3 linked regions of the Pelodiscus sinensis genome follow. The protein of the gene in region 3 purifies or fractionates together with the protein of the main gene of each other region. This does not show direct contact. Links are inferred from orthologs where the notes say so. Each region holds a gene or a part of one and is shown on either strand. Other genes may lie near its edges.

Region 1 (5,924 bases), on a different chromosome or scaffold from region 3:
ACAAGATAGGGACTGTAGGTTTGTTCTTAAGTTGAATCTGTATGTAAGTCGGAACTGGCGTCCAGATTCAGCCGCTGCTGAAACTGACCGCCAGTTCTGACTTACATACAGATTCAACTTAAGAACCCCAAGCTTCCCCAAGTCAGCTGCTGCTGAAACTGATCAGCGGCTGATTCCAGGAAGCCTGGGGCAGAGCAACTCTGCCTCGGGCTTCCTGTAGTCAGCGCTGGTCAGCAAAGCCTCAGAAGCGCGGGAACCCGCCCAGTGTCCCTGGTCTGCTGGAGACGGTCTCCAGCAGACCAGGGGCACCGGAGCAGCTTACGAACGGGGCTTTCTCGCCCGGAGCTCGCAGGTAGCAATCTGCCACCTCAATCTCCGGGGCGAGAAAGCCCCGTTCGTAAGTGCGGATCTGACGTAAGTCAGATCCGCGTAAGTCGGGGACTGCCTGTACTGGAGGTATGGAATTTTATTTGAGGGGTGTGGAAATTGTGGTTATATGAACTAGCTTTTTGTGGTTTGCCACTGCTGCTTTCATTATTGGATTGTTTTCTTAATTATCTGTTCAGAGCCTGCAACAGGCATTCTTAATACTTGTTCTTTAAAGCACTTCGAGATCTATTGATGAAAAGTGCTAGTAAAATCTAGGTATTACCATTTATTATTATATATTGGAATAAAAATAAAATTAAAACAGACGCTTTCCTTCCCCAAAAAAGTCATATCTCTTGTTTCTCTCATACCATTTTGGGACTGAAATTAGGATCTTTGTTAAGAGTAAACCGATTTTTTGTGTGTGAAATCTCAGAGGGGTAGCCCTGTTAGTCTGTATCTGCAAAAACAATGAGGAGTCCTGTAGCATCTTAAAGACTAACAAATTTATTTGTGTAGAAGCTAGGGATGTAATAGTACCATAATTTAAACTGATAAGCCTAGGCTTATCAGTTACCGTTAACGGTTACATGCAGGTTCTCCGCCCCATTCCTGGGGAGCTGGTTGCCACCCTGTGCTGCTCGCTCTGTATCAGAGCCTGCAATGCAGGATGGCAGCAGGCCAGCTGGCAGGAGCCAGTATGCACTGGGAGCCGGCTTAAAAGCCAGTATGCCCAGGGAGCCGGCTGCATTTTAAAGCTTATACTGCAAAGTCTGCAGCGCTGCCAGCTCCCCAGGAGTGGGGCCAGCCAGCTCTGCTCCCAAGGAGCCAGTTGTGCTTTGGGGCTCTGCAGTATAAGCTTTACACTGCAGAGCCTGCAGTGTAATCATGTAACTGCTGAGAATTTTCAGTGGTTACATGGTTACCTAATTAACCACTTTTTAACATCCATAGCATAAGCTTTCTTGGTTAAAAAAACGCTTTGTCAGATGTGTATTTATGTGAAGTGACACAGAGGAAGTTTAAACCCCGCACTTTGGTCTCTGCTCTGATCCCTTTGAGATATGTAAGCCATGCAGCTGAGGATTCCTCCAATATAGGAAGCTGCAGGAGAAAGGAGCATTACTGAGAGACTTGTGCAGCAGGCATTATCCACTAGTAGAACAGATCCTAGGAAGCTACTGCTGTGGGAACTATGGGCTGCTCCAACTGATGTTAAGGGTCTATCTGTTCCTGGCTGTGCCCAACATAGAAAGTTTAAACCCACCTTCAGTCCACTTTATGAGCTATGCTTCCACAGAACCCAAGATCTAGCTCTTAATGCTCACTTAAATTAATGGGATTTATTCCCTCCCTGTGCTTGGATTACAAGGTCAGGCTTATAGTGGATATTTAATAGGTTTAACAGAGACAGACTCCCAACCTTTATATTCTCCTGATTTGCCATCACCTCAGTGCCTGGCCTCCAAGATCACTAGGCCCAGACCCTGCCCATGGCTGCAGTGATTAGCAGGATCCCTACACTTGTTAAAAAACAGAAATAAATTTGTGGAGCTACATGTGATTTGCAGGAAGTGGCAGAATACTAGACCTACTGCCTCTGCTGGGATTATTGCAGACTGAGTGAAAAGCTTGTCCTCGCAACACATCCCAGACAAGGGATATGGATTCACTTACTCTCTTCCAAATTTAATGAGGCCATAGCGGACAGGGAAAGGGAGCAAAATCTTTATGCAGATGCTACAGGTTTGGAGCTGTGGATCCAGGTAGAACAGGACAGTCCCTCACTTTGGTGATGGGGAAGGGGGCTCTCTCTGGGCCATAAAGTAAGCTGGAGGTGGGGTCCTTTCCTCTATCCGATCGATGCCCCCACTCCTCTTGTATTAGTACACACAGATACTAATGAATGCCGCAGCCTCCCCCCCCTCCCCGATCATAAAAGGAATCTGTGGTAGAGCCAAGAACTAAACATAGGTCTCCAAGCGCCCCAGCCACAAAAACACACCCCACAGCTCCTTTCTCTGGTGTGTAAAAGGAGAGGAGGGGAAGAGAGGGGAGACATCCCGTCTCTCAATGGGGGGTGGGGGGGGAGACAGCTCCTTTGGAGCCATACAGAGAGTGCAGAGGAGTGAATGAAGCCAGCCTGCACCTCTCTCAGTACTTTGGCTCCGGTGCAGATGGGGGGCAGAAGGGGAGGGCAGCCCCCTCCGTCAACTGCGGGGAGTCAGTGGACTCTGGGGAAGGAGCAGAGGGGGGACGAGATGGGCAGCAGGGTAAAGCCAGCCCCCCCCCCCCTTCTTGGCTCCGGTGGGGGAGGGGGGATCCCGCAGGTTTTGTTTCTCCCGGTTGCCGAGTGGAGGGAGCTAGAGCCACAAATCCGTCTCCGCAAACGTCCTGGAGAGTAAAGCCCCGCGGCAGGGCGAAGCGGCGCAACCAGCCCGCCCCTGCCCTTTGTTAGTGGCTACAAAGCAGTTCAAAGGGCAGCGGCGGAGAAGCTCCTGCGGCGCCTTTTCCTTCCCGGCGCTGCTGAGCCGCTCCCTGCAGAACGCCCTGTGCCCGGCACACAAGCCGCGCTGCCTCCCGGCAGCCACAGCCCCGGGGCGGAGCTCGCCTGCACCGGCAGCCGCGGGACTGCGCAAGGTGCCCTCGTGTGCCGGGTAGATCATCCCCCCCACGCACCCTGGGGGGCAGTGCCCCATGTGCTTACCCCGTGGGCACCTGCCCCAGCAGCCGCCCACTCATCCATCTTGCGCCGCTCCCCCTAGAGGTGACCAAGGCGGCACGACAATGAGACACACCGAGGAGCTCTGGGAACTGCCTGACGCCGCTTCGGGGATTAACTTTCACTAGGCTGCTCCAACTACAATTCCCAGCATGCCCCGCTGTGGGAACCCGCTGCAACGTCTTCTGGGAAGTGTAGTTCTCTCACCATGGCACCCACCCCCCGAAAGGTCCCCAGGGAAGACGAGATTCCGCTGCTGCATTCAGGGTTCTCAGCCCAGATCCCAATGCGTTGTGAGCCCTATTTAAAATAACCACCCCTGCCATAGTCTTTTCTCTAGACAAAAAGCAACCTTTTGCTTGAGTGACTGATGTTAGGCTAAGGCAGAGGGTGTCCAATTCACTCTTGGCTGCTCATAGTGTTGTTTTAGGCATTACTTACACACACCCTCTCTCTCCCTCTGACCATAAAAGCTCTTCCCCCGATTTTATTCAATTTGAGGAAAGCTACAACTTCAGAAGGTTGAAATTTGCACTTAGTAGATTGCACATGAAATCTAAATGCTTATATTTTACATTTGAGATTGTGGAATCCAATTTGGCCTGTGGGAGAAAAGAAACTAGAAATAGCTTTTTAAACAAACATTTTAATCTTAATTATTCATGCAGGTCAGAATAAGCTATGTAGATGTTTGCAGGTATGGCTTCAGCTATCATTCATGTTTTGTAGGTAGCTGCACTCCACAGTCCTGTCTCATCCATCTAGCTCTACTGACAACACAACACAGCACAGCACAGCAGATGCTGTGCCATTCTTGTTATGTCTCTAGACTGTGGTGGAGCAATAAAAAAATTCTCTTTATGTAGCAGTTTTCTCAGTATTTCTCCAGTAAAAGGTCAGTATGTGCCCATCAAGTACTACCAACATTTTTTTTCCATCATCAGCACCATAAAAATTGCTCAGAAGCAAATGTGATTAAGGGCAGCATCCATACACAGTGATTTCTGTTGTTGCCTGATTATGAAATTTGCTACTTATATTTAAAAAGTTTCAGTTTCAAAATCACTTATCTGAATTAGTGTAGCTTTAAACCCATAAAACTCACTGCCCCTAAATGATTCCAAGCCTCACTGTGTTCACAATACAGGCAGTCGCCGAGTTACGTGGATCCGACTTATGTCGGATCCGCACTTACGAACGGGGCTCTCTCGCCCCAGAGCTCGCAGGCAGTGGGACTGCCCAGAGCGCAGCGGTCCCGCCACCTCGACCTCCGGGGCGAGAAAAGCTGCTCCGGGTGCCCCTGGTCTGCTGGGGACCATCTCCAGCAGACCAGGGACACCGGGAGCAAAGCTGGGGAGGCGGAGGGGTCCCGCGCCTCTGAGGCTTTGCTCTGGCAAAGCCTCAGAGGCACGAGACTCCACTGCCGCTGCCGCTTTGCTCCCGGTGCCTCTGGTCTGCTGGGGACCGTCTCCAGCAGACCAGAGACACCTGGAGCAAAGCCGGGGAGGCAGACCCACCGCCCCTGCGGCTTTGCTCCCCGTGTCCCTGGTCTGCTGGGGGGGGCGCAGCTAGTGGTCCCCCTCCCCCCTCCAGCAGACCAGGAAGACGTGGAGCAAAGCCCCAGGCCTGTGGTAGAGCAGGTGGGGCGCTGCCGGTTGGTCCCGCAGCACCGCTCCTTGGTGCTACTGGACCAACCCAGTAGCACCCCAGCTGCTCTGCCCCAGGCGTCCCCAAGTCAGCCGCTGCTGAAACTGACCAGTGGCTGACTACAGGAAGCCCCTGCCCCGGGCTTCCTGGAATCAGCCGCTAATCAGTTTCAGCAGCAGCTAACTTGGGGATGCCTGGGGTTCTTAAGTTGAATCTGTATGTAAGTCAGAACTGGCGTCCAGATTCAGCCGCTGTTGAAACTGATCAGTTTCAGCAGCGGCTGAATCTGGACGCCAGTTCCGACTTACATACAGATTCAACTTAAGAACAAACCTACAGTCCCTATCTGGTACGTAACCCGGGGACTACCTGTAGTAATAGAAATTTAGCCATGTAAGTCTGGTGTAGCTGAAGCAAAATGCAGGACTATGTAGCACTTTAAAGACTAACAAGATGGTTTATTAGATGATGAGCTTTCGTGGGCCAGACCCACTTCCTCAGATCAAATAGTGGAAGAAAATAGTCACAACCATATATACCAAAGGATACAATTAAAAAAAATGTAATGGTAGCTCACAGACATCTAACTTTCCCCACCTCTAATATCATTAATTCACAGACACTTACCTTCCTTCCTTCGCCCCCCCCCCCCCCCACACATCCCTCTTCTGTTCTGAAATGAGATTTGTCCTTTTCATATGTGTTCATTTTTTTTAATTGTATCCTTTGGTATATATGGTTGTGACTATTTTCTTCCACTATTTGATCTGAGGAAGTGGGTCTGGCTCACGAAAGCTCATCATCTAATAAACCATCTTGTTAATCTTTAAAGTGCTACATAGTCCTGCATTTTGTGTTCACAATGTGATTTGAGAACTCTCTCTTTACATATGCCATCCTGACAGGGCCAAAGATACAGTAAAAAAGAACATTGCAAAATGAGCATACAGGAGATCCCCATACTAATTGAATTAGTAGGCAGCATAGTTCTCAGCCATTTAAAATTTCATGCTACCCTTAAATTTGTTTTAGCACCTAGAAACCACTGTGATGAAATACTTTATAAATATCTTGATAGATGACGTCAATGGCTTTTTCTTATACACTGCTGTATTTGCATTTTTTTTACATAAACCTGGCATAGTTTTAAATGATAATCTTCTTTAATATTCTGCTTTTATGTTTT
Region 2 (5,924 bases), on a different chromosome or scaffold from region 3:
CACCACCATCACAGTTACATGCAAATCTCCTCACCAGCACAAGGGCGAGGGTGGGGTTGCAGACAGGAGCCAGTGCTTGCAGGGAGCCAACTTTTAAGCAGGGTCCCTGTGAGAACTGGCTTCCGAGGCAGAACCCGGTGCTCATGGGGCCAGCTCCCCACAAGCCACCTGCCCCACATTTCTGTACTGCTACTACTGTATCAGAGGCAGCAGTGCAGGCAGGCAGGAGAGGAGCCAGTGTTCACAGGGAGCCAGCTTTCAAACCAGCTCCTCATGTGCACCAGTTCCCATGGAGCCGCCTCCCACCCCCTGTATGTAAAAATGCAACCACTGAAAAATTCAGCAGTTACGTGTTTATAAAAATGCTTTTTAACATCCACTGGCACTTATTGACCAGCTGCGATATACATGAAGAGCCATTAACAACAATGGCTAATTGAATCTGAGACCTGTCCAAGAAGATTACTTTACCTTAGGGCCATGCCAGTCATCAAATCCTCCTAGTGAGCCAGCGGGCACACGCCTCTGGCAGGGCCCTGGGAGGGGTGGGAGAGGACACATGCTCCCCAGCCCTGCCTGCCACCCTGGGGCAATTTAAACCCCATCGGGGGCCTCCATTGCTACCAGCAGCAGTACAGCAGGGGCTAGAGCAGCTTCTGGTTGCAAGCTCTGCATCACTGTCAGGACATCCCTGTGGTCTGGGGACATGTGTGCAGAGCTATCCCATCCATAGGATGGGTGGGGGAAGCTGCTCAGGGCTCCACTCTTTGTGGGCCCCCATGGCCATTCCAACCTCCTACAGATGGTCTGATCCCTCACACTCAGGTTAGCCTGTGGGAGGGGCGGCTGGGGTCAGGCTTCCCGGCACTCACCACAATGGTGGGAGCCGCAGGGAAGTGGAGCGATGCAGCGGCCTGCTCCTCTCTGTCACCATCTCCCAGGTTAGCCCAGTCGCTTTGCTTCCTGCAATGCAGGAGGGAGAGAGGGGCCCGATCACCTGATGCCACCCTGCACCAGGCCTCCTAGTAATCCCAGAGGCCACATCCCTCGGGGGAGGTGTTTGGGATAAGGGGTGTAATGGGTGGAGAGGAAAGAGCAGGAGTGGGAAGAAGTGGGGCAAGGCAGAGTAGGAGGGGGATGAAGGGTACTGACCCCTCCAGGGCCACAGGGACTCATGTGCTGGACTGGGGAGCTGCCTGGGCTGTAGATGGCCTGCGACCCATGAGTTTGAGACCCCGGCTCAAGGAACACCACTGTACTAAGACTAGCTGTGGCAAGGGGAATGCAAATATTTGAAAGTCACGGATTTTAAATGTTTTCTTTTTTAGGCACATTGTATACATGAAGCAGTATTAATGGCTCCATCCTGCAGCATTCACCCATATGGGCCCTGATCCTCCAGTGAGACTTGACAGAGCCCATGTAATTGTACCATCAGACCTTTACATGGGCATATGGCCATAAAGTTGTAATTGCAGGCTTGGAAACCCATGAGTTATTCCACAGATTTAAAGGATTATCATTGGAATGAGAGCTTCAGGACTGGGCCCAAAATCAGCAGTTTGCATGGCTCAAAACTTCTGAATCATGCCCACTGGATTTAGGTTTAGGCTCCAATCCTTCAAGAAACTCAGCTAGGCAAACCCACTATGTTAGTGCAGAGATCCACTAAAATCAAGGGATCTACACAGTCATTTACAGATCAATGCCTAAATCTATTCTATGCACACATAATACAGTAACCCCTGATATTTTAAAGTAGTCCAATGTTAGCTATGATCTACAGCTGGGGTGGGGAACCTAAGGCCCGGGGCCAGATGCAGCCCCCAGCTTGCCTCATCTGGCCCTCAAGGCAATCAGAGTTGTCCCCAGCATTGGGGAGCCCATGCTGGTGAAAAAAGAGAGAGAGAGAGAGAGAGAGAGAGAGAGAGAGTGGGTGGTTGTTGTTTCTTACTTGTGTGCAGCCCCTCACTGATTTTTCTGTGGGTCAGTGGCCCCCAAACCAAAAAAGGTTCGCCAGCTACAACCTTCCTTAAAGGGCAATAGCAAACTGTGGAGTCTGTATGTCATTATAAAGTTTGATACAATTTCAAATGAATGGTCAGAATAGACCAGAAAACAATGACAATTTCCAGCAAAAACGTCTCCTAAAAACTAGATGGCTTTTGTGGCTTTTACACTGTGCTAGACCCTTTGTTGTTTTTTAAGTTTTTCCAGTTACAGACTAACTCGGCTACCCCTCTGAGGTATTATTTGTTTCTATGAAGTTAAAGTTACAGCTGCAACAGAAAGATGCTTATAATGGAATTACTTCTCAAACCAAAACTACAGTGTTCATGATGGGCAAAAATATTAAGGCACATACACACAGGCACGCACCCACCCAATACCTTATGTACATCCCAAATGGATTATAATTAGTGAGGAGGCTACTTTTGACTTTTTTAAGATTCAGGAACTTTGGAACATGAGAAATGAGAAGGGATACCCCACACAGTCTTGTATAACAGGAATTTCTGCCCAACTTGTTACAACGTTCGCTATCCAGTGGAATGGCCAGTATAGATTAACTTGTTACAGTGCTTATAGCTAACAAAGAACAAGGTAAATCCATCCCGCTGGGGTGGGGCAAATGAAAGGAGAGGAGGATCCTGGAAGCTGAACAGAGTCCTGCCAAATAGAAAGCAGCTCAGCAGAAGGCTAAGGTTGTCCTAATTGGTTCTATAAACCCTATATTGAAACATCAGCTTTCCTTACATATTAGGGCTTGTCTAATTATATTTACACAGAGTGGCCTTGTTTTATTAAAATTCACAAACAGGTAGTTTATCTGTAGCACGCAGCAGTTTCAGTTTAAATATATTTGCATTATATACACAATGCGTCCTGGACTGCGTTGCAACGGAGGATACTTTATAATAGATGGGGGCAGATTTCTATACCCCCCCCCCCGCGCTATAAATTATGGCAAGCCTTGTTTTAAAAGTCACTCTCGCTCCGGCGCTGCGATCCGCGGGATAAGCAAGTCCGAGCGCTAACTCCACACAAGCCAGTCACGCTTGAGGAAACGCGGCTGCTTACCTGCGTTTACACGCCCAGGCAGCTTCTCCTCTCGCGGCGCGCTGGGAACGGGCTCCCCCTTCTTCGGGGAAACGGCAGCAAGAGCCGCTCAGCCTTCGAGCGAAACCTCCGGGTGGGTTTCCCGGCGTGGAGAAAGAGGTTTCCGCCTTGATCCCAAGCGGCGCGGGGCGGGGGGGGGCGTAGGAACCGGTGCCGCTGGGAAGAGGAGCTGATTGCGGCACAAGGCGAGGGAACCGGGGGGGCTGTCTGGATTGTGGGCTCCGCCGCCCCCGCGCGCTACGCCTGTCTCTGCCGCGGCGGGGAAAGTTTGCGGGAGTTTGGGGCGGCGGAGGCAGGAAGCCCCGGCCGGGAGGGGAGCTCCCGCGGCAGCCCGGGGGCGGGGGAAGGAGCGAGGCAGGGGGCGGCGGCGGAGCCGGAGCGGGCCGGCGCGGCTGTGTGCGGCGCGGGGCTGGAGCCGCGGCCGGGCGCGCAGTCACAGCCCTGGAATGCCAGGAATGCGGAGCGGCCGCTGCGCCGCCGGGGCCCGAGACGGCGGGGACTTGACATGGGCTTTCTCCGGCTTGTTTTCCCTCGCACGAGAGGAGGGACGAGGCCTGTCCCAGGGAGGAAGAGGAGGGGCAGGCTCCTGCCAATCCCGCCGGCTGCTGCCCGGGCCCGGGCGGCAGGGGTGTCGCGGGTTTCTGGGGAGCCCCCTGCGCCACCTCCTCGCGAGTCAGTGGAGACAGGCCGGGAGCGGGGGGCGGGAATGCTGAGCGAGCCCGGGGGAGGCAAGGGCTGAGTCAGTCCGCAGTGGGTTTGGCGGAGGAGCGGGCACTGAGGCAGCCCATGTCTTTGGGAGGCCGGCCTGCTTCTCTGCCCTGCTTTGCCGCCACCCGGGATTGCGACTGGCCCTTGGTCCTCCCGCTTCCGGCTGTCTGGTGCATCCACCCTTCCCTCCTTCTCCTTCCCTGCCCTCAGCTCCTTTCCCTGTGCTAGGTGAAGGGCTCCCAGCTCCGCTCCTCCCCCCTCCCCCCACCCGTTCTCTTGTGTGGGGAACAGTAAATTCAATGGCTTACAGGTACTGCCCTGTCACACACCCGGGGGGAGGGGAGCTCAGGGCAGGCAGGGGGTGGGGAGCTGTGATGTGCATGCGTCTGGACCTGTAAGAAATATAAGTTTGGGCTGAAGTGTGGACTCAGGGCAGGGCAGGGCTGGTGTCTGGAATGGCGCAGGAGTCAGAGCAGCGAACTGGGAATGTGGGAAGTGTAGGGGGTATGATGAGAGGCCCAGGGCAGAGGCTTTGGTTGTGGGATGTGGGAAGAGGCTTAGGACAGGGGCCTGGGAGGGGGGGTGGAAGGGCTTGGACAGTTCCAGTTGCTGCCAGGTCACCTTTCCTGGCTGGTGGACAGGTCCCTGCCTGCTGCTCCTGTTCCCTGCGCTGCCACAAGTTGAGCTGTGCGCTGGCTGTGCGGCAGCGCTGCTGTAGGGAAACCCATAGCAGTGTTAGAGACCCCCTGGCCTGTGCTCCTTTCCCCTGGCTTTTTCCCAGTGGCTGCTGGCAGCAGTGCATGCATGTGTGCTGCTCAGCATCCAGCAAGAGAGGGGCAGCAGGACAGGCATGAATGCACTAAGACTGTGGCTGGGAGCTCGAACCCCACCCTGACAGCGTGTTCCCATGCAGCCCCCTTCACACATGCCTGCCTCACGTAGCTGCATGTGCGGGAGCACAAGTGCCAGCCCACTGCAGAAACCATGGGAGCCCAGCTCCGTGAACATGCTGCATTGCGCACCCCTATAGCGGAGCGTTCGGCAGATTGTCCCAGCTGACTCTTGCCCGCACAGCAGTACACAGCCTTACTTTCACATCTGGTGAGGAGCCACTCTTATCCAGGGGAAGGACACTGGAGAATCCAGCTGCAACCAGTTCTTTCTGCTCATGGCCAATTATTTGCTGGGCTCCTGCAGAGGGAGTAGATGAAATACTCCCTGGCTACGTCTACACTGGCCCCTCTTCCGGAAGGGGCATGTAAATTTCAAGAGTCGTCGTAGGGAAATCCGCGGGGGATTTAAATATCCCCCGCGGCATTTAAATAAAAATGTCCGCCGCTTTTTTCCGGCTTTTAAAAAAGCCGGAAAAGAGCGTCTAGACTGGCCCCGATCCTCCGGAAAAAGCGCCCTTTTCCGGAGGCTCTTATTCTTACTTCAAAGTAAGAATAAGAGCCTCCGGAAAAGGGCACTTTTTCCGGAGGATCGGGGCCAGTCTAGACGCTTTTTTCCGGCTTTTTTAAAAGCCGGAAAAAAGCGGCGGACATTTTTATTTAAATGCCGCGGGGGATATTTAAATCCCCCGCGGATTTCCCTACGACGACTCTTGAAATTTACATGCCCCTTCCGGAAGAGGGGCCAGTGTAGACGTAGCCCCTGGCTACTGGCAATGCTGGCGCCACATGCACCCGTTGTTTGCAAGAGAAACCACAGAGGAAACCCTGCGGTCCCCCCCAGACATGTGATGGAGTATCACAGATGGGAATCTTATGCAAGAAATAACTATTGGTAAATGAGGAAGGGTCATTCTGCTCTAAGGTTGGCTGAGGAGCATGATTGGAGCACACTGTACCAGGCTGCAGCTTCTGCTAAGATGATGAATCCGTTACGAGTGAACTAGTGTTAAGAATATGTAGACCCTGCATATAATTCCCCAGATATGTATAGAGTTTTGCAGGTGTTGCGTATTTAAATAATGAAAATCACAATGTTTTTACACCTATAAAGAGCCCTTGTTTGCTAAAAATCAAGAGAAAGTTACCTAAACCCAGATTTTTAATCTTGCATTAAACCACTTTTAGCTTTTAACGTCACCTTTC
Region 3 (5,924 bases):
CTGAAATCCTGTAAAGTTTTATAGGAACTGGACAAATAATTTGTTTTCATAGCTAATTAACATGTGGATGTCAGATAAATAACTGGATTAGAATCAAATCAATATGTGGCCATCTTAATTCCAACAAATATAATGGAAAAGCTTAAACAAAGAATCAATTGTTGGGGGGGAAATAATCAATTACAAAAGTTAACTAGAAACAGACTTCTAATTACCACACAAGACAGACTCCATTTAACTATTTAAAATTATTACAGTAACATTCTGAGACACCTTATGCTTGTTATAGTTGTTTTGGACTATGAATTTCTTTAAAAAAAATGTAAGTAAGTCCAAGAATCCTGAAACTTCAGCAAAGTTTCACATAGTGTACAATTTTATAAATTTAGATCACTTTAGCATTTTAGAAGTGTTAACATAGTATTTTGAGGCACAAGTCTCTTCAGTTGCAGTAATTGTACAATTAAAATGTGTTAAAAATCTGTCTCTTCACATGATCTCCTAAAGAAACAGTATAATTGACAGTTTCAGTGACATTTCTACAGATTAGCAAGAAAACTGAATTGATCACATGCTGATAATTTTAACTGCAATTTTTTAAGGAGACCTAAGTTGACAGAACATTCAAAAAGTAACTGGTATGGTGACTCACAGCAGATGCTTTTAATATCTTGAGCATAATTTATAATAATGATCAAAAGAATAATAGTGCACACTTCAAAGTAAAGTGGGTCAAGAAGGAAACTGAGCAGTAATACAAGGAGATATAAGAATGATCAGAGAAGCACTATGGGACATGACTAACTCCATGAATATCCGATGGGAATTTAAAAACAAATTCTGCGGCACCTCAGAGACTAACAAAAATATATTGGATCATGAGCTTTCGACTTCATCAGATGAGTTAGAATGAAAATAACAGAATCAGAGCAGTTAGTCAATTGTAGGACCTATGAGAATGTTAATAGGAATTTAGGTCATGATATTTTGTTTTAAAAAGATGGGTCAAAACATAGAACATGTCGTAATACAGCACTAATATACTACAGCACTGATCTTAGATCCATAGTCTCTGTCCAAAAGTCTCTAGGTGTTTGTAGAGCACACCACAATTTGATCCCAATCGTGATTCGAGTCTTTGAATGTTACTACAATCCAAATAATAATTTCAACATGCTTGATAAGAAGATTAGTGTCTATGTCAGATCTGCAAGAGCCCTGAAGTAACAAAGGGGACAAGACTCTTCTGTGAAACGAAATGGGAAACAAGAGCCAGAACAAGGACTCTTTGCCCAAATATTTATAATGCCACTTAGAAACCACAGTCAAGGATCAGAACCCCATCATGCTAGATACTGAACATCATGCAACAAAGAGAGTCCCTGCCACAGAGAATTTACAGTCTAGGTTTGAGGGATGGATGGAAGGGTGAGGAAACCAAAACAGTGACAAAACTGACTACTTTCCCTACCAATGCCAAAAAGAAATGATTTCTAGACATGGCAGAAGCATGTTTTAAAGAGTTTTTAAAGACAGTGCAAGGATTGTAAACAGGTTAGAAGGGAAACACAGGGAAGATAGAGACATAAGAGAACTGAGTAAGAGGTTCATTATAGCATACAGGACAAATAGAAGGTCATGACATCAGTCAAGGGATGTCTCTCACTTCCATTAACATTCTAATGGTTACCAAGTAGCTGTTAAACAGTGGCAAGCTAAGTGGCAGTGTAACACAACTAAACAAAAGGCTAAAGTCAAATCTTGAGTGTCAGCAGTGCAAATATAATAATGACAGGTTGCACCTGCAGAAGTTGGCCCAAAACTGCAGACTCTTGATCATCTGACAAACTTAAAGCAACCAGGACATTTCCAGGACACACTTTATATTGTGAATATATTATAATGCAGGTGGTCTACTTACAAGTCAAAATGTAAGAAGTCACTTTTTTATGGCTTAGGGGGCAAAAACGAACATTATAATGATTGCCCTTAGTAGCCAGAGTTAGGGGAACTCCTTCTCTTCCATCAAAAACAATAAACTGAATAATCTCAATGGAGTCAAATTGCATGCTTGGGATGGGACGGTGTTCCAGTTAGGCTAGGGACAGCATGGAAACATTTGAAACAGTAAAGGTCCTCTTTCCGGGTACATCTGACTGAATCAGGTAAGACCTTGATATTATTCAGTTAAACATCAGCTGTGTGAATTAGCCTTTCCTCAGCAGAGGTAGCAACACACACACCTATGAATCTAAATCCTTATCCCACACATTGAAAGGTACAGAGAATTTAGTCCTAACAGGTATTATGGTACCAACCATATTTATGAATTGATCGATGCATTTATTCATCAATCAAAATCAAATCACTTGTTTACTAAACACTTTATCCAGACTAGCACTAAGAGTCCCCGAAAATACTTTCTGGTCTACAGAGCAACATGCAGTTTCCCCACTATGAAAGTCAGTACGAGTCACCTTCCAACCTAGCAGTGACCCGAGAAAAGATTGTGCGGCTCAAGCAAAATTCAAAGTAGTTTTGTCCAGCCTCTTGCCCCCTAACGCTGAAGTTACGAGCCGCTATAGCCTATGCAGTGGAGAGAGCTCCCTCCGCAAAGAGAAGTGGTTTGGGGGGAATCAATGTAAACGTGCACCCAGCGCTGGGGGCTGTTACACATCTTGGTCAGGAGGCCTCTTTGGTCTGCGCCACTGGCAACTGCAGCAACAGAGGCTGAGCACACGCACCCCCCAGCCCTCTCCCGGGCCAGCCGTCGGGGGGGTCCAAGGAGCCAGTGCTCGTTAGCATCAGGCTCTTTGTGCTCCGGCGCTGCCCCTGCCCTGCGCGGCGGAGCAAACGCCTCTCGCCCTGCACCTGCCTGGCTGCCCCGACAGGCAGCGCGGGCGCGTCCAACCGGTCCGGCCTCATACCTGTCCCGCGGGTCGATCCAGCTGGTGCTTTGGCTGGTGTGGTCGATGTAATAGACTTTCCCGTCGAAGTCCCGGGCCTCCTCCCAGCCCGCTGGCAGAGGCAGCTCCTTCCTTGGCATCTTCTCCAGGCCGGCCTGAGCCGCCCCATGCAGCGCCCAGCCCCGCGCCTGGCGCCGGCAGGAGCAGCCGGGCTGGGGGGCGGCCCCCCCTTGCAAGGCCCGGGGCCTGGGGCAGCGGCGACCCGCCCAGGCGCTGCGAGGAGGACGCGGCGGGAGTCACATCCTACGCCCGGGGGAGCCGGAGATCCCGGCGCGGGCTCCCCTCACGCCTCCATTTCCAGCGCGGCTCCGGCCGCTCGGGGGTGGCTCCGCTCCTGCCGCTCCCGGCCCAGCCTGGCACCGCCGCGGCGGGGCGGGGGGTGTTGCTCCGCCCCGGCCCGAGCGCCCGGCCCGCCCCCAGGTGCTCCGGCGCGGCAGGTACCGGCGCGGCGGCCGCTGCTCCTGTAAACACGGGCGCACCGCAGGCAGGCGCCTCCCCATCCAGGGCACGGGGGTGGGCACAGCGCAGCCCCTCCCTCTGCCGCGCGCGGGGCTGGGCACCGGGCGGCACCTGCCCCGGACGCCGGCTGGGTCGCTCGGCGCCCCCCTGTGCCCAGCCGGGAGGGCGGGGTGGCCCCCCCCGAGCCATCTGCTCTCCCCGGCAGCGAGGGGCGGGGGCGTCTCGGGCTAGCGCGGCCCCAGGCAGAGCGGGCTAGTGGTTAGAACAGGGCACAGGTGAGGCAGGATCCCGCCCCTGACTCTGCGGAGCCTTCCCCGGGAAATTACCGGCCCCAGGTAGTCATGGCCGTGAGCTGGAGCGTGCACGGGGTTGTTTGTGGAGCCCAGCGTGGCAGCCTTAAGCAGCCACAGCCCTTACCCCAGTGCTACAGTCAACCAGTCCAGGAGGTCACCGCTCAGGCACCCCGCAGCTTGTGCTTGCTTTAGGGTGATGGGTTTCCTGGTCATTCCCTCCCACCCCATTCCTTTTATTTTTTCCAGATAGAAAGCTTTGGGTGGCATATTAAAATGGCTGGATTTAGCCAGTGTGCTCAGAGGAGACCCAAGGGCCGGGATCCACCAAGGTGTTTTGTCACCTAGTTGCAATTTTGGCTCCACTGCATAAATAAACTGAACTCTTAGGTACCAAAACTCACTTGGCACCTACATTTTTAAAGTGAAAGTTCCCCTGTATTGCAGACTGGGCATCCACAGGCCTGTGCCCCAGAGCAATTAATTGGATGTAGGGCTTGATCCAGCTGACAAGCTCAGAAGCCACCTACTGAATTGAGTCCATTCAAAATTCGGAGGGGTGGAGGGGAAAACAAAGTGATACCCAGCTTGTACTTTTAGCCCAGTGATTAAAGCAATTACCTGCAAGGTGGGAGACAGGGTCAATATCCCCCCATCCCAGAGGGGGAAGGATTCAAAATGGATCTCACATCCCAGGAAAATGCTCTAACCATTGGGCTAAGAGGGTGAGGAGTGCACTACTACCTCTCCTTCCATTTTGTGTGGAGTGAGGCAGGGGCACACTCATTTCCTCTAGCAGCATCAGTGGTACCATATAAGGTGACCATATTTCCCTATGTTGGATAAGGGACACCTGGTAAAATTACTCATATTCAAGTGAGGTCAGTGGCAAGCAGAACTATGCAGTACACACGTTCAAATTAACATCAAGTTGACTGCACTCCTATGAAAAAGAAATGCTGTGTGGCTGGAATCTTTTTATTTACCTCCTTATCTGTAAGGTTTGACTGTGACACACACAGTCCCGTAACCTCTCTGACACAGACATCCTTCCCCTTTATTCGGCTTTGGTGAGGCCGCATCTAGAGTATTATATCCAGTTCTGGGCCCCCCACTACAAAAAGGATGTGGACGCATTGGAGAGGGTCCAGCGGAGGGCAACCAAAATGATTAGGGGGCTGGAGCATATGACTTATGATGAGAGGCTGAGGGACTTGGGTCTGTTTAGTCTGCAGAAGCGAAGAGTGAGGGGAGATTTGATAGCAGCCTTCAACTTCCTGAAGGGAGCTTCCAAAGAGGATGGAGAGAGGCTGTTCTCAGTAGTGACAGATGGCAGAACAAGGAGCAATGGTCTCAAGTTGTGGTGGAAGAGGTCCAGGTTGGATATTAAGAAAAACTATTTCACTAGGAGGGTGGTGAAGCACTGGAATGGGTTATCTAGGGAAGTAGTGGAGTCTCCATCCCTAGAGGTGTTTAAGTCTCGGCTTGACAAAGCCCTGGCCGGGTTGATTTAGTTGGAATTGGTCCTGCCTAGAGCAGGGGGCTGGACTTGATGACCTTCTGAGGTCTCTTCCAGCTCTATGATTCTATGATTCACAGGGATAGGGGTGAGTAACCAGCCTGATGCAAGCCTCCCTGCACAGTACTGTATACACTGGCTGGGCTGCCAGGATGGATCCACCTCTTTTCAAGGCAACATGTGGGAGGGGGGGGGGGAAGGAAATGAAGGGTCACAGGCCCCTCCCCAAACCTCTGTCACAGTTCACACCAGTAGCAGCCTTTCATCCCTGTGCAGGAGGGAATGAATGGGAGCTGCTTCCAGCTGAAGGGAAATGGGGAGGGAAGACAGGGATGACCTGGCCCATGTTTTTTCACAGGTCATCTCCCCCCCACACACTGCTTCTCTGTGGCTAGAAGCAGCTTGTGCCTTCCTGCCAGCATAGTGCAGAAAGGCAGTTCACACCTCTAAACTGCCACTGGCCACCTACATAACCCAGTCACCTCCTGTCCCCTGGTTACAGTTCTGGCAGGAAGGAGTTAAGCCCTAAGGATGTATTGAGCATCAAAGCATAGGGAACCTGACTGCAGGGCTTCCCTGAACTGGGCCAGAGAGGTGGCTCAGCACAGGGTGTCTAGGGTAAGAGCAGGTACGAGGTGTGGAACGAGGTGTACAGCTAGTTCGGATTAGGAAGCCTAATCCGAACTAGCT

What was found.
Region 1: the proteins of WWC1 (region 3) and AMOT purify together in Homo sapiens (affinity purification with mass spectrometry; 3 studies listed by BioGRID and IntAct, with this or other methods). This does not show direct contact. The link is inferred for Pelodiscus sinensis from reciprocal best matches to the Homo sapiens genes WWC1 and AMOT.
Region 2: the proteins of WWC1 (region 3) and PTPN14 purify together in Homo sapiens (affinity purification with mass spectrometry; 7 studies listed by BioGRID and IntAct, counting the BioPlex papers as one, with this or other methods). This does not show direct contact. The link is inferred for Pelodiscus sinensis from reciprocal best matches to the Homo sapiens genes WWC1 and PTPN14.

Annotation. Positions count from the first base shown.
Region 1 is NC_134723.1:26,616,376-26,622,299, reverse strand, and holds the start of AMOT (angiomotin), read right to left. Parts: upstream 3,228-5,924; 5' UTR 3,077-3,227; intron 1-3,076.
Region 2 is NC_134713.1:149,087,465-149,093,388, forward strand, and holds the start of PTPN14 (tyrosine-protein phosphatase non-receptor type 14), read right to left. Parts: upstream 4,035-5,924; 5' UTR 3,082-4,034; exon of another isoform or gene 3,062-3,081; intron 1-3,061. UniProt on the Homo sapiens protein: Protein tyrosine phosphatase which may play a role in the regulation of lymphangiogenesis, cell-cell adhesion, cell-matrix adhesion, cell migration, cell growth and also regulates TGF-beta gene expression, thereby modulating epithelial-mesenchymal transition.
Region 3 is NC_134727.1:8,391,014-8,396,937, forward strand, and holds the start of WWC1 (protein KIBRA), read right to left. Parts: upstream 3,469-5,924; 5' UTR 3,047-3,468; coding exon 2,928-3,046; intron 1-2,927. UniProt on the Homo sapiens protein: Regulator of the Hippo signaling pathway, also known as the Salvador-Warts-Hippo (SWH) pathway.